4 linked regions of the Oryzias latipes genome follow. The protein of the gene in region 4 interacts with the protein of the main gene of each other region in a biochemical or structural test. Links are inferred from orthologs where the notes say so. Each region holds a gene or a part of one and is shown on either strand. Other genes may lie near its edges.

Region 1 (4,154 bases), on a different chromosome or scaffold from region 4:
AGAAAATCTGCTTCATAAACTGGCGTGCCTTAATTCTGGTTGACTTTCTGGGGGCGCACGGCACACAAAAATCTGTGTTTTTTTAGTTTGTTGGACAGTTTGTACTCTCCAACTGTTTGTGAATGAGTTTCATGAAGTTTCAGTTGGTTTACTTCACTATTTATCCACATTCTTTTTACTTTAGTTACTTTCTAAAGTTAAAATCTTTTTATTTTCCTTTAACCAGAGAGCCACAATAGGTCTGGGTAAAAGTGCCACGTGTGTTTGCGGAGCTGCAGGTTGCAGACCCGCCCCCCCGCCCAGTTTAAATCACCTGAAACATTTTGTCAAGACTCTGACTTCCTGTTCTTTAATATCCTGACAGTTTATCACTGGATCGAGATGAGAACGAAGATGCGGATCATGGGCTTTCGGGGCTCCACCGTCAAACCGCTGAATGAGGAGGCAGCCGCAGAGCTGGGCGCAGAGCTGCTGGGGGAGGCCATCATCTTCCTCATCGGTGGCGGTTGCATGGTGTTGGAGTACAGCAGGCAGGCTGCTAACTCTCGCCGCAAGGAGGAGGAGCTAAACGAGACCATGATCAGTCTACAGACTCAAATAGGGGAGTTAACACTAATAACAGAGACTTTAGATGCTCAGCTGAGGGAAGTTAACAGGCTGGTTCTCTCCCTTCCTGCCCCTGCTCCCACAAAAAAGTGATTAGAGTCGCCGCTTTACATACTGTTGATCTGTGTGTGTTGAAAGAATGAAACTGTAGGCTATTAGCTTGACTCACTGGGTTTCAGTGCACTTGTGGAGTTTTAACCAGTCATTTGCTCACTTTGAGCTAGTAGTTTTAAAAGCATCACTATGATATTCATAGGGATTCTATCTGGTTGACTTTGCATTCGACATTGGGTGTACAGCGCTGTGTAAAGGTAATATATTTTGTGACATTAGCATATTTCTTCATCTTTTTAATCCAGTGATGCAGTCGGAATGCTGTAAATATTCATTTGCAGTTAAAAGTTGGAAAAACCATAACTACGCATAACATTTCACAAAGTTATCTTTAAAAATGAACCTGTCTGTAAAGTTTCTTGTATTGTAATTTTCTTTTTCTGTCATGTAAAACAAAAACTGGATTTAAAAAAATGGAGTGAGATGAGCTGCTTTACTATGTTGTTAATGTGATATGAAGCCAACAGAACATAAACAAATGCCAAATTTAAAGAGAGAGTATTTTTTCCCTATCTATAATAAAGACAAGGTAGTCCCAATATTGCAACTTTTCACAAAAAGCTATAATTTGAAGTCGGTTTGTGCTCATAACTGAAATTCAAGTTTATTATTGACAACAATTCTGCGCATGTGCAAAGCGTCTGTTTTGAACTTCGACGTAGCGCCGCTAGGGGGCAGTAGTTGTTCTTTCAGACTTCTACAACGTCTTGCCGCGCAACCCGCGGAAAAGCAGGTAGGCCTTAATCTTGTTTTTTAATTGTATTTTGCTTATTCACGGTAATAACAACCGACTGCGTCGTGCATTAAGTTAAGTAAAAGGAAGAGAAGTTATATTTGAACATGCAACATGCAGGTTTTCTGAGTTACTTGTTTTGTAAAAGGCTGGTAGGCACGTTAGCTAAACAAGCTAGGAAGGTTGTTGCTGATAGCGACGTAAATATAGGTCGATTGTAGTTTAATATCAGTTTGTAATTCGAGTGGTAGATTTGCTATGGCATAGATGTGGACATTTAAAGACCACAACAAATGATGTTTCGCGTGTTTAGAATATGTGTATTCCGTAAATGTTCAAATGGATGAGCTAGCTTAGCCACGCTAGCGCGTTCTGTTGGAGGCACCGCGCCGCACAAATGCATGAAAGTTCGTCGCTCCGTTTTAGGCTGTGCGCCTTATTTCCGTTTCCTCTGCCTCGTTGCTCAAGGAAAACACCACACAGACCCCACAAACTGCGAAACACAATGAGTTTAGACGTGAAGAAACTGAAAGTCAACGAATTAAAGGATGAGCTTCAGCGGCGCGGCCTTGACACCCGGGGCCTGAAGGCTGACCTGGTGGAGAGGCTGAAAGCCGCTCTGGAGGCTGAAGCTGATGGGGACGATCATGCTGGAGAGCAAGAGGGGCAAGATGAGTTCAGTGAGGACTTCCAGGACAACGAGGACGGAGATGACGCCCAAGAGCAACAAGGTCAGTCGTTGCTGATCGCTTTTGTGTCGTTTTGAATGGACAGAGCCTCTGGAGGGACTTTACCGCGCTCTGAAACCACCAGTGACATGAAAAAAACAACAGAGGATCGTGTTTCTCTGGCTGTACTTTACATTTCAGACAGGAAAGAAACTTATTGGGTGAACAATCATTTAGAATTTTCCTCTTGTGTTGTTAAAATTTTTATATTAACACATTTTTAAATACATTTGTCCCTTTTTAATCATTTTTTTAGACTACAGTGCAGATCTTTCTTTGTATCCAAAGAAAAATCTAATGTTTTTCATCTTTTTTACAGTGTTTTAATTGTGCCAATCATGTTAATAGTGTTTTGTTTTGTTGTCTTGATGTCCAAGTCAGTAATTGGTGGAACAATGTTGACATTAAGCTTAGAACCTAGAGTATTGTCTCCACATTGTGGTTTTAGTAGTAATACTGATAATGAGACATTAAAAATAATCCCCCCTAAGCTTTCCAAAAGTTCAAGGTCCAACAGAACTGTGATAAATATTTGGTTGTTGTTGGCTGTTAAGTATTTTCAAATTAATTTTTGTGTTTTGCCGTGATCCTAAAGAAGTTTTAAAGAGTTTGTGTTTAGTTTGTCAAGAAAGCCTGTTGCTTATCCGAAGCCATGCATCTGATTTTAAGGCTGGCTGAATGATTTTTAATTTATTTTTTTAAGTTTGTATTTTACCAATTTCTGATCTTGTCTTATATATTCCTCTGTCATTTTCATGTCATTTTTTGGACCAAAACAGTAAACTGTTGAAAGTTTTATTGTTAATTCAGGAGATAACAAAAGTTATCATATATGTTATTTAATGTAGCACTTAAATATTACTATAGTTTATATTATAATTGCTATTATGCTGAAGTGGATTTTTATAGTAGGAAAATGTGTTTAGTGTTTTGATTTTTTTTCAGTTCAGATGAAGGACTAACAATTTAATTATCTGTTTATATTTAGCAGAAGCAGCTGAAGACTATGATGATGAAGATGGACAAGGTAACACCCCTCAAGGGGAAGAAGAAGGCGGGGATTCAGGTGGCTACTACGAGGAAGAAGAGGCAGAAGCGGAGGCCAGTGAACCTCAGCAGGCGCCTGACTCGGGTCTCCCCATGCCCGACTTCACCGCTGACGATGATTTGCAAGGGTCGAGCATGGCCTTTGAGGAAGCGGCCAAGCCTGAGATAAAAGTGGAGGAGGAGGTGGAGGAGGAGGAACAGCATGCCAGGAGCACAGAAGGTCATTTTTCAGCCTGGTGTACACACTGATGAGTTCACTGACATTCACCATGGTTTTTTATAGAAACTTGACCCGTTAAAGCAGTCTTATTTTTCATTGAAGAAGTCAAAGTGGAAGTCAAAGCAGAAGATGAACCAGAGCCCGCCGAGAGCCGACCGGAAGAGGCTCCGACAGAGCAGCAGCCGGAACCCGAACAGGTCAAGGTGGAGGGGGACAGAGGTGGGAGCTACAGCCGCAAGAGACACTATGATGAGAGCAGAGGCTACAGCTACTACGAGCACCGGGAGGACAAGAGGTGAGCACATCCTCAACTCCCGTTTTCCCTCTCCTGACTGACACAAACGGGTTTGAGATGAAGGCTGCGCTTCCCTTTTTCCATTCGCTGACTTGTTGAAATGTGTTCATCTTTCATAGATCCCGAACACCACAGCCTCCAGCTGAAGACGAGGAAGAGGGCGTAGACGACTCTCTGATCACCATCGATACGTGTAAGCTATCCTTTTTGCAGCGGGCAAGAACCCGTTGGAGATTTTTTAACAGTGACGGCGCTGTCATTAAATTTAATTTAGTAACATTTAAAAGGTTACTTCAGGTTGGTTGTGTCTGCAAGACGATACAAGTCGGCGACAACTTTAGTTGCAGCATCAAACTTGCCAAAGAGCTGCTTCAGCAACATTTCTACCGTTTTGGATGTTGTCCTGAAGTT
Region 2 (3,964 bases), on a different chromosome or scaffold from region 4:
AATGAGGTAATACTTTCAAAAAGTGATGGGTTACAGGTTTCAACAGACAACCTAAAAGCCTCTGCAACAAGTAATCTGCCCTGTGACTAATTGTTTACGCAGGTAATGGGGTGACAAAGGAAAAACTATGTATATATACTATACCATGAGAGGAAATACTTAACTTTGGAGATTATAAAAAATATAATAACATAGAATAAACAGTTAACTAGATACTGTTTTGGAGTTTTTTGTTAGAATGTTAATTTATGTGTCGATGAAAATCATTTTTAAATGTTAATGAAAAATTGTTGCCACTATATATTATATTTGATATGTCCAGCTCACCTTGATGATCGGCCCTTCGATTTATTTCGCCTGTCGCTCTCGGAGCCACTACTGGGTCCAGAGCGACGTCGATGTCGAGGCCGCCCTCGGGAAGGAGACCCAGCATCGCTGCTGCTGGATCTTCCTGGGCCGCTTTTTCGTTTTTCCACAGATTTGCCGCGACCTCTTCTTCTGTCATGTGATCTAGAGCGGCTCTCTCTGGATTTATTTCGCCGATTTCGGCTCCCGCTTCTTGATTTTGACCGGGACCTACGTCGAGATTTGGATCCCATTACGAACTTGCTAACAGTGCGGGGTCCGAAAGGCACTGTGTCGCGTAAATAAGAGGTAATAGCTTGAAACCGTTTACAATGAAAAATAAATATTGCACAAAAGTTGCAACTGTCAATGCTACAAACTATTAATTGTTGTTTAATATGTTATTTTATAAAACTTAAAAACATTAATACGGTCAAAAAAAATCCACAGTGCGCACGAATATGACGTCATGTTAGCGAGTATTATTGGCAAGTATTTCAAATAGCAAAAATTATTTAATTTTTTTTTGTTTGTTTTAACTACACAAAACATTTCGAACAAATAATAATAAAGCAACTTGAATGTTTTTTCCCCCACAAATGAGCAAAACATTTTGAATAGTTGTTGAACAAGAAGAAAAACACTTGGGGTCCTTACGAAGTCAGGCGAATGTAGTTCATTTTTCCCTCTGAAAACATTTTCGATAACAAAAGTAATACTTTGGTCAAGCTAAACGTTCTTTCTATAGGTAAAATAATTATAAGTGCTTATATTTTCCGCATACTCTGTCTTAAATACAGGAAAGGTGTTTTCTAATGATAAAATGCACAAAACCGAACTACAAATCCCATACACCAGAGGGAGTTGGCTGTTTTCAGAGTGCAGGGGAGTCCTTTCAGCAACAGTCTTTCCTAATCGTGTTCTCAGATGGCAGCACAAACGTACTTTGTTGCTAGTGTCTTCAGCGTTGTAGTTTAGTACCTCTTTAAATTAGAAAACGCGTCTCGCTTCCTAAAGTGCAGTAAGTGTTGTTTCTGTGCTGAGATCATCGGCTACGGCTGGTCGGTAACTCTGATTAGCCACATTAGCCAGCAGCAACCATTAGATTTACGGCTTATATGCGCGGTTAACCTGGTAAATTGACTAAATCTTTAGGTGCTGGTAGGTTATAATGTCTCGGTTAACTCAGCCGTTGTGAGTGTTGATATTCCCACGTTGTTATTGGGATCTTAGAGCAGAGAAGGTATTGTTTGGCTTGTGCACATCAGCATTATAGCCATAGGTTCGGCCTGTGTTTATTGTTTTTGGAGGTAGAAAACGCAGAACTTGTTGTGGGTCGCTCGACTGTTTTATATCAAACTTAGCTTCGTAAACAGAAGCATCGGCTGTCGAATTAAGATCCCCTCAAAAAACCAAACGAAGCAGAATGGCGCAACACGACTCCTCTCATGTCGCCAGCTCACAGAAAGCTCTCATGCTGGAGATGAAGAGCCTCCAGGAGGAGCCTGTGGAGGGATTCAAAATCACTCTCGTGGACGAAGCTGATTTATACAACTGGGAAGTGGCCATTTTTGGACCACCAAACACTCATTATGAAGGGGGGTACTTTAAGGTAAGAAGTGAAAATGGCAAGAAAATATAATGAGCTAAACTCAAACGATAAGACAAATACAACAAATGGATTTCTTCTTTTAGGCTCGCATCAAGTTTCCTATAGACTATCCATACTCCCCACCAACATTTCGCTTCCTCACCAAAATGTGGCATCCCAACATCTATGAGGTGTTGTATCACAATGACTACAGTGTAATATTGTGTTTTATTTGTGTTGTGGCTGCAGCAAATGACCTTCTTTCCACTCTTTTAGAATGGAGACGTGTGCATTTCTATTCTGCATCCACCAGTGGATGACCCACAGAGTGGAGAGCTGCCCTCAGAGAGATGGAACCCCACCCAGAATGTCCGGTCAGCAGATCCCTCACTCTTATCTCCTCTCTGGTCTCCTCCCTTCTTTGTTTTTTGGTTACTTTAATAATTTATTTGAAGTAGAGTCCTGTGAGTATGGGGTTTCTGTTTGTGCCAAAAATATGTTTTTGTCTGTGTCTTTTGGTCAATTGTCTATGTGTACTGAGCGAGTTTATTGAACATTGGTTCATGTCTATGTACTACAAAGCAATATCGTCTGCGTGCCCATGCTTCTTTGATTATTACTTTCCCCATATCGCCTCACTACGTTGTCAGGAAAGCCCTTAGCAACCGTTGCTAGTGTCGTTAGGTACGTCGTTTTCCCATGTCGCGTCGCTTGTCAAATTTTGCCAAAGCCGTCAGAAAGCAAATGCATTGTAATAATCAAACAAGCACGGGGCACGCAGAAGATACTGCTTAGTATTACATAGACATGAACCAATGTTCAATAAACTTGTTCAGTAGACATAGACAGTGGACGCAAAAACATATTTTTTAGCTCAAACAGAACCCCATATTTGAGATCCTCTTGGCCCCTTACGGATGGACTGCTGCTGTATAGTTTTAAATTATTACAATAACTTTGGTTTTTGTGACTTTTATGAACATCAGAGCAGTTTTTGAGACTATAGGTACAAATAAAAACCTTTGCATACACAAGACATACCACTCCTTTTCCACAACTCTCCCATGCCTAGATCCATATGCATCTTTATTTTCCTCATCCGAGCTGGCATCTCACTCAAAACTGTACAACTGGATAGCTCTGATATTGCTCAGTATTTTTGTCGCACTGTTAATGCTTGGTTTGGCTTGTAAAGGGCTGTAAGCTAGCAGGAGAGAGTGTAGACAAAGGGATGATGGGAAGGGGGGGGGTTGGGTTGCTATGCACCAACGGTCCCACATCTCAGAGGTGAATTTCTAATGTACTGCCGCTCTGCAGAAACTATGTCTTAAAAAAAAGTACACAGGTTTTTGGATTATGGCTAATACACGCATAAACATAATTAAAAGACCACTAGGAATACTTTGAAAATAAATCAAAAGATGAGTGGACTTTATAGACCTGGAATTGTGGACTTGAGTTGAGACCACACATGCCATTAATCACATTAGCAGCAGGGGTCATATTCCACCTTCACACTGCTCTGCACACTCAATAATCTTCTTATGCGTTAAAATTTCTTGTAGAATAATCCCTGCTTCTATTGTAATGAAGTAATACAATCAATTAGGAATATTTTATCCTGGATTATTAAAAACGTTAGTACCAAGATTGTAGAATTAAATGGTTAAATTGAACCTTTTTTTGCATCAGAGTTTTGCAACAACATTAAAAAGTTCCACAAAAAGATGTAAGTACTCAAACTTGTTTCAGCTGTTTTAACAGGCACCTTAATTTTTTCTATTGATAGTTATTACAGCAATTTTTTTAGAATAATTTACCGTGACCTGACATGGGTAAACAAAGAATGAAATGGTTCCTGTGAATTAGGATTTTGTTCCTACAAAATAAAAATTCATTGATGTTGGAGTTATGTAATTATCATTTGCTTACACGCTATAATCTCCATAATATGGTTGTGTCACATTTATCTTTCAGTAAGAAAACAATGACCTAAAAAGTTCTGATTATGCGAGAATATGATGTTCC
Region 3 (3,992 bases), on a different chromosome or scaffold from region 4:
TTTTTTCTTCTCAATCTTATGCCCATAAGTAGCCAAATGTTTTTATTTTTTTAGTATTCCGTCAAAACGCTTATTTACGGTTATTTGCCCTCTAGAGGTCAGTAACATTCCCTGATGTCCAACAGACCACAATAAGAATGATGCAAAGTTCAAAGGGGACTGTAAATTTTCATTAAAAAGTTAAATAAATATGTTAACCCTCGCTGAACCTTACTTACGGACCCCATAAGATAACACAAGGGTTAAAGTAATGGGGCTGAATTGTGGCACAGTTAAAAAACAATTGCTTCTGGGTGTGCATGTGCCTATACGCCCAAAGGTGCCTTCGATCGACCCCTTGACCCCTTCAAGGGATAAAGCAGGTTAAGAAACTGGATAGAAGTTAAAGCAATAGGATAATTAAAAGCAACTTGCCAGAAAAGCACTTCAGAAGGACCACCCGTTAACTTAGTTGGATGAAAACCAAAATTAAAACAATTTTTAAAATAAAATAATGTATCTCTATATTCAAATCTATATTCAGTTAACGACATAGTGGTTGTTGTGAAAAAAAACCAAAAACAAAATCGCTCTCTTGCCAAGATTTCTATTAAAGTATTACAACAAATTAGGTAATATTTTTTAATAATAAATAACCACAAGATGGCAGTAGAAGATGTCCCGCAGTTTGACAGGCCCTATTTTTTAATGAATGCTTGTTAAAAAAAACATAAATATACAGATATAAAGTTTCAAAATGCAGTACAAAGAAATATTTTTAAGGAAAAAAACTGGACAAAACAAAAAATAGGAAATTTAAAACAACAAACACTAAAACAAACAAATAAAAAAATAACAAAACAAAGTAATGAAAATTATTGGTAATACCCAGCCCTAGTTTTTGAGCTGTTGTGCTTTTTGAAGAAATTGTTTTTAAATATTGCTTAAGTAATATTTTTTAAATTTAGTTTTCAATAGCAAATTTGCTTTAGTGAGTATGACATTTTGCCATTGATAAAAACCTTTTTTCTCATGATCATTTTGACTAAAATTATGAGAACTAAGAATTACATTTTTATTTTTTTCAAGTTGAAATTCATCAAACCTAGAATTTGTGGATGTTCTTCCATACTTTTAATTTGACAGGCATACAGACGATGGCGTAGTTGTGTGAATAACAACTTCCGATAAATACTTTCAAAACAAAACTGATATCACAACAAAGTTGAGATTCTTCATTAAAGGATACTCTTGTTTTGAAAGGTCGACAAAGGGATGTGACGTTGTTTTAAAGCCTTTCACAATTTTGAAGGAGCCTGACCTATAAAGTCCATTCAGTTGGTAAGTGGAGCTGTGGGTTTAGCCTTCTTTTTAATAGCTAAAACAGAAAAGGTACATTTGAAGATAGTTAGTGAGTCGTCGCAAATTACGGCCGCAAAGTAAGTCAGTTTAAGTAGCTAAAACGAAGCTAAAGCTAATGTCAGCAGTGTTATTTTGACAGCTCACGGTCTCTTACAGGAAATTATTAAAAAAAATACGTTGCTATAAGTGAGCATCTGACGTCGTTTGTATACAATTACCTTATCTACAATATAGCTCACTTTAAGTTTAGCGAACGTCCGCAATAGACAGCATGAAAAATTAACCGTCACGCAATTGGAGTCTTGTTGGTTCATTCTAGTCACGTGCCTGGTGCCTAATGTGTTTTCGCCTGCTTGCAAGTTATGTGGCGTAGACAACAAAATAACCCTTTTGCCTCAATGTGTGCAGCTTAAATAAGTGTAAATGTTTGTCGTTTGTCTGTTTTACAGTTCTTTTTTTTTTACAAGCTAACCTGTACTCTGACGCTGCGTTTAAACTCTTCTTTTAGGGGGATGGAAAAGGCTAAACAAGATGCGTTTGATAATGCAAGACTTCAGGTGATCAAAGATGGCTACGACAGGGCTTTTGAGTGCATCAATGAAGGACTCACTGCAGATGAAGCTGGAGACAAGACACGAGCCTTGGAGCTTTACAAGCAAGGCCGGAAACACCTTCTCAGGGCCATCAGCGTGCCCTCACACGGGGATGAGTGTGGTGGCAGCGCCTGGGAGTCAGCCAGACAGATGCAGCAGAAGATGGAGGAGACCCTGAACAACATCACAACTCGCCTCGCCATTCTAGAGACCAGCTCTGACCTCGAGTCTGCACCTACGGAGAGTTCTACTAGTGTTTCTGATTGTAGTGATCTGCCTACAAATGGTCTTTACCCAAAGCTCCAGACCAAAGAGAAGCCAAAGAGGCCAAATCCACCAAATGTTGGTAATGGACCACCTCTTGGAGCTGAAGGAGGCATGGCTCCAAACCTACACCTTATGTTTCCAACCCAAACACCTCCAGCTTACTCCCCCCAGGCAGCGGAGGGCCACACATCCATCTCTTATGGAACAGAATCAGGGGAGATGTCGCTGGTTGGGGATGAGTTCTACAATAGTTCAGCCATCTCTACACCTTCCACCCAGAGTCTAGGAGAAGATGGAGAGGAGCTGATTTACATTCCTAATGGTGTTCAGATATTCTTTGTCACTCCTGATGGACAAGTAAGCGCTCCATCATACCCAGGTTTCCTACGATTGGTGAGGTTTACAGATGATCGCTCTGAGGGAATGCCCGATCGCCCACCAGCATTTCTGCAGGTAGGACAGAAGCGAAAGCAAGCATCACTTTGTTGGAAGCATTAAAGTGTCTTCATTTATCTAAATCCAGAAAGCAATGATAAATAAACCCTCACTGCTGTCTGATGCAATAGCAGGTGGTGAAATGTCATCACTGAAGTTTCACCAGCTTGATTCAGTCTTTCTTTTGCCCTTTGATCCAGTTTTCTTGGATTTATGCTAAGCTAATCAAGGTTTCTTTGTCTGGAGCAACAGATAGGGGAGATTAAAATCTGTTGCCCTGTGGACTGAATGATTTTAGTTGTTTACTCTGTCCCTTTATTCCACTGACTGTTTGATCTCCTAGTTAAAAGCAAACAACAAATCACTACAATGTCACTCTTAACTGTTCACGTGGAGTTACAGATAGAATTGCAACATTTTAAAACCTCTTTTTTTAGATTACCAGTCCTGTTTAACCAGTTTATCAAGGAAATACTGAACTGTAAACTGCAGACAGACTATATTAACACGTAATTTATGTTCAATCAATGCAAGGCTCAAACCCACATATGACACTGTGAAGATACATTTTATTTATAAAATAGAAATCCATTAACAGAAACCGACATTTAGATTTATTATTGAGATTTAAGTCATGCATTCGTGGCCAGAAATGTATTTTGGCAATGCTTTGTGCCACAGCCCTCTTTTAAACTAGAGGATCATGAGACTGAGACTTGAATACTTAATAGGGAATTTCCCAGGTATTCATTGAGTGACATCAGGGAAGCGCATGAGGCCAATTGCATAACCCTGCTTACACTGTTTTGCTCTGTAATCTTGTTGGGCATGCAGTCGTCGCAAAACAGCAGTCGTCTTTGTCTTTCGGCTGCTCTCCTTTTAAAGGTCGCCACAGCAAATCAAATGCCTCCATCGAACTCTCTCTTCTGCGTCCTCCTCGCTCGCCCCAACCCCCCTCATGCCCTCTTTAATGGCCTGTGGAAAATACTGTTTTGGGTCTTTTAAACATGTTCTTGTGGCATTTTTCTGATGATTGACATATATGAAGAAAGCACAAAATTGCATTTCGAGTTCGTTTTCCTCGTCTGAGCTGACTCAAAATGATAGAAGACTTCAACGTGCACCAAGGACCTGATTTGAGCCCCTTCTTGTTTCCTGTGGTGATGCTGCTTGTGTTAGAAGTTTTGGAGATGAACAAAGGGAAGCAGATTGAAATGGTTTAGACCCGATCAGACACACAGTTTATGTTGGTAAAAGGAAGCTAGGGATCTAAAGGAAGACCTAGGAGATTGTTCATGGATGTTGTTAAAGAGAAAAATGACACAATAACATGTAAAAAAACAAAAACAAATGGAT
Region 4 (3,500 bases):
TCGGACTGTTCATCATGCTGCGTCTCTCCTCTGTTCCAGTGCTTTCAGCTAAACTCAGAGAAAACAAGAAGAACTGGTTTGGTCCCAGTCCTTACGTGGAACTGTCAGTTGACGGCCAATGCAAGAAAACTGAACGATGCAACAACACCCACAGCCCCAAGTGGAAGCAACCACTCACTGTGTAAGTAGAAGAAGAAAAAAAACAGAAATTCAGCATAGGAGGCTGGTTCCAACAGTCAGTATGGCTGACCGATAAAGATTCAGGCATAGTTGGACCGTTTCAGTTCACTTTCAGTCTTATTCATAGTCTGTGATCAACCTCTGAATAAATACCCATCCTAATGTTTTAAATGTCGTTAGCTTGTTGTTTCATAAAGCTCATAAGTATTTGGAGAGACACTACAATGGAAATCCTGTTTTTAACATGTTCTTGTAGCATATTTCTCATGATGGAAGACATGTATATGGAAAATTAAGCTTCAAATTGCATTTCTGAGTATTTATTTATTCAAGTCCTTGTGAATCAGGAGCAGATGAAGAAAAATGCAGTTTGAAAAACAGCGTATATGTGACGTGGAAAATATGCTTGGCGAGCCACAAGCTCCTTTTACCAAGCTTTCAGTGGCAGGAAGGCGAAGTAGGGTGGGGTTACTCTGCACCAACAGACCCACCTACAACCTGGAGGTGAATTTCTAGGGAACTTCTGCTGCTCTGCAGAAACTATGTCCTAGAAACACTGGGGACGCTTTGAAAACTGATCAAAAGATGATGGGAGTGGGACTTTGATAAAGATTCACTGTTTTTTGAAGGTTTACAGCTCATTAATGTTCATTTTTTAAATCATTTTAGCCATAGTTTGTTTTTAAAATGGACTTATCAGTTAGCATTGTGTTGGTGATGTCAAGAAGAAAGTGTTAATTTAAAAACCTTAAATGGAAGCAGCTGAACTTTTTCTAAATATTCCAGCTGTCTGGATAAACTGGTTTGACTCTCAGCCTTTAGGTAAAAGTGGTGCACTTCTTTAGAGCTCAAAACATCTGGATTTTTGGATGGATTTTGGTTTAAAACCAAGTCATTCGTGAAGAATTTGTGAATCTTTTCTTTGGGTAAACGAATTCTGGAAAAGCATGTGACAGATGAGGATCAGTGCAGGTTGGCAACACTGTTCCTAAAAACTGTTTCTTCTGGAAGAACACAACCAAAAGTCTCTGAAAAGGACAGTAAAAGCAGCAATTCGCACGTTTTTCACTCCTTTTTATGATGAATGTGGGTAATATTCACTGTTATAAATGTTTATTTTCAGGATAAACATGAGAATGAGTTCAACAAATTTATAAACGGATACAATTAACATTAAAAACACTTCAAAAATGAAATCTAGGTCATTTGGTTACCTATGAAGGTAATGATTTGTTGACCACTTTGTTTTATTAATCTTGATATAAACTTTAAAGTTTTATAGGTTGTACTTGTTGCCATTTAAATACATCATAAATCTCACACTCTGCTGATAAATAGCTTGTCAGTGAAAACACAGTATGTGTTTTCCAAAGCATGTAACAGGATCACGGTTTTCTTCTGCAGGCATTTAGGGCGCTGGATTAACAGCTGTCATGTCACAGAGACCTGCTGTCCTGGTTTAGCTTCTGGGTTTTACAGTAAATTATTCACTTAAGCAACACTTTATCCGTTCACTCAAAGCTAAAGAAAGTTTGTTTTTTTATGCTGTTAAACGATTTGTAACCCCTTTTTTCCCCAACAGGATCGTGACCCCGTTCAGCAAGCTGGTGTTTCGGGTGTGGAGCTACCAGCCGCTGAAGTCTGACGTGCTGCTTGGCATCGCCACCCTGGATATTAGTGAAATACTGAAGTCTAATAACATGAAAAGTAAGTGGAAGGAAACGCGCAGACCAAATCTTAGTGTATGAAACCCATTAGAACATAGTAATGTTGGGCTATAGAATTAAAATGGAATTAAATGGAATAAAAAGTACGCACTTCTGTGGAGAGAAAGCCTCAGGGCCCGTGGGATTGTTATGTCATTGTGAGCCAGCTAATAAGTAGATTAGAGCTCAGCTTTGTTGGCCCATTACTGGATGGATGTCTGAAACTCATTCACTTTGGTTTTTTGCTTTTTACATAATGTGCTCATCTTATCAGACTTGAAAACTAGATTTTTATTGGCATCTCTAAAAACTCTCTCGCTTTGTTTCATAGCAGTCTTCTTCGGTAGATGCACCACTTCCTGATCACCCAAGGCTTTTCCTGCAGCACATCTGTTGTAGAAGAGTAGCAATGACACCAATTAATGCCTGAAGCTGTTTATGCTAATGCGCCTTACAGCCAAATGTCTTTCCCTGGATCACAGAGCAGACAATGGGCTACAAGTCAGACAACAGTCAACATGGTTCATCATTTCTGAGCATCTGAACAGTTTTTAGTGTTTTTTTCAACAAACTCGGTGTAGTTTTTGGTTATACAGTGGTCCCTCGTTTAAATTAACCTGTGTGAGGTGAAACCCGCAATATAGTCGGTGCTTTTTAAAAAAAAAAAAGTTTTAAGGCTTTAATTCCCATCACTACACACTGTATACACTTTTCTCAGACAGGCAGGAACATTTTTTTTACACTTTTCCCTCCCCAACCCTCTTAACCCTTCGAAAGTTCAAACCTCCATTGAAAATTAAGTCAAGTATAACAGTTAGAAAACAAAGATCTGATTGAAGATTTATGTAAATCTGGTAAGATGTGAACTCATTCTGTGCAGTAGACAGGGCACGATAAAAGGAAAGTTCGCGATATTAGTGATCAATATTGCCATGACGATATAATACAGATACATGAACAAAAAAGCAAAATAACCAAAAACATCCAACAGTTTAAATTAAACAAGTCGACATTCCTTAAATGATACTCCAAGTGAGCCTTGTCTACATTGAAGGCGAACATCTAATAAAAGGGCTCCATCCGATTGGTCAAATGCATAAAGGGATGGATTAGGGTTGTGCCGATCGTGATGGCTGACTGACATCACGATGAAGAGACACCATCATGATGCCACGCCCCCACGACGCTGCGAGTCGACACCATAAGCCCCGGTTTCATGTGCAAAATATCTTGATCGGATCAATGGTCGGATTAGAATCCAACTGTGTACGTGGGCCCAGAAAAACGTTTTCGGATTATAACAAACGTTCACATGGGTCACAATTTCGGTTGGAATAAATCATTCACAAATGTTTGTGTAGTGTTTGAAAGACCGGAAGAGGAAACGAGTTCCACTGAGAGGCTGCATACATAGATATCTGGCAGCTCCGTAATATACGAGATTATCTTCTAAACGTGCTTTTATTAATGTTATTATGAAGTGCCTGTTCGCTCATCATTTTAATTTTAATCCATGTGGTCAGTGCTTTTTCTGTTGAAGAACGGACCCGGAAGAAGGCAGGGCTAGGAGAAGACTAACATGGGCTAACAACATTTAGCCTTTGATGAGCATAT

What was found. The genes of interacting proteins can lie anywhere in the genome.
Region 1: the proteins of E3 ubiquitin-protein ligase Itchy (region 4) and hnrnpul1 form a complex in vitro, tested with the Homo sapiens proteins (2 studies listed by BioGRID and IntAct, with this or other methods). The link is inferred for Oryzias latipes from reciprocal best matches to the Homo sapiens genes ITCH and HNRNPUL1.
Region 2: the proteins of E3 ubiquitin-protein ligase Itchy (region 4) and ubiquitin-conjugating enzyme E2 R1 form a complex in vitro, tested with the Homo sapiens proteins (3 studies listed by BioGRID). The link is inferred for Oryzias latipes from reciprocal best matches to the Homo sapiens genes ITCH and CDC34.
Region 3: the proteins of E3 ubiquitin-protein ligase Itchy (region 4) and spartin form a complex in vitro, tested with the Homo sapiens proteins (2 studies listed by BioGRID). The link is inferred for Oryzias latipes from reciprocal best matches to the Homo sapiens genes ITCH and SPART.

What each region holds. Positions count from the first base shown.
Region 1 is NC_019871.2:3,002,468-3,006,621, forward strand, and holds the start of hnrnpul1 (heterogeneous nuclear ribonucleoprotein U-like protein 1), read left to right. Parts: upstream 1-1,354; 5' UTR 1,355-1,453; intron 1,454-1,921; 5' UTR 1,922-1,958; coding exon 1,959-2,184; intron 2,185-3,169; coding exon 3,170-3,448; intron 3,449-3,550; coding exon 3,551-3,743; intron 3,744-3,862; coding exon 3,863-3,936; intron 3,937-4,154. Other genes in the region: opa3 (optic atrophy 3 protein), read left to right, coding at 365-699.
Region 2 is NC_019875.2:22,330,713-22,334,676, forward strand, and holds the start of ubiquitin-conjugating enzyme E2 R1, read left to right. Parts: upstream 1-1,164; 5' UTR 1,165-1,771; coding exon 1,772-1,957; intron 1,958-2,040; coding exon 2,041-2,127; intron 2,128-2,212; coding exon 2,213-2,310; intron 2,311-3,964. Other genes in the region: cactin, read right to left, coding at 328-599. UniProt on the Homo sapiens protein: E2 ubiquitin-conjugating enzyme that accepts ubiquitin from an E1 ubiquitin-activating protein, and catalyzes its covalent attachment to other proteins by an E3 ubiquitin-protein ligase complex. In vitro catalyzes 'Lys-48'-linked polyubiquitination.
Region 3 is NC_019871.2:8,294,728-8,298,719, forward strand, and holds the start of spartin, read left to right. Parts: upstream 1-1,192; 5' UTR 1,193-1,320; exon of another isoform or gene 1,321-1,418; intron 1,419-1,849; 5' UTR 1,850-1,853; coding exon 1,854-2,654; intron 2,655-3,992. UniProt on the Homo sapiens protein: Lipophagy receptor that plays an important role in lipid droplet (LD) turnover in motor neurons.
Region 4 is NC_019865.2:2,027,175-2,030,674, reverse strand, and holds part of E3 ubiquitin-protein ligase Itchy, read left to right. Parts: intron 1-39; coding exon 40-181; intron 182-1,762; coding exon 1,763-1,887; intron 1,888-3,500. UniProt on the Homo sapiens protein: Acts as an Acts as an E3 ubiquitin-protein ligase which accepts ubiquitin from an E2 ubiquitin-conjugating enzyme in the form of a thioester and then directly transfers the ubiquitin to targeted substrates.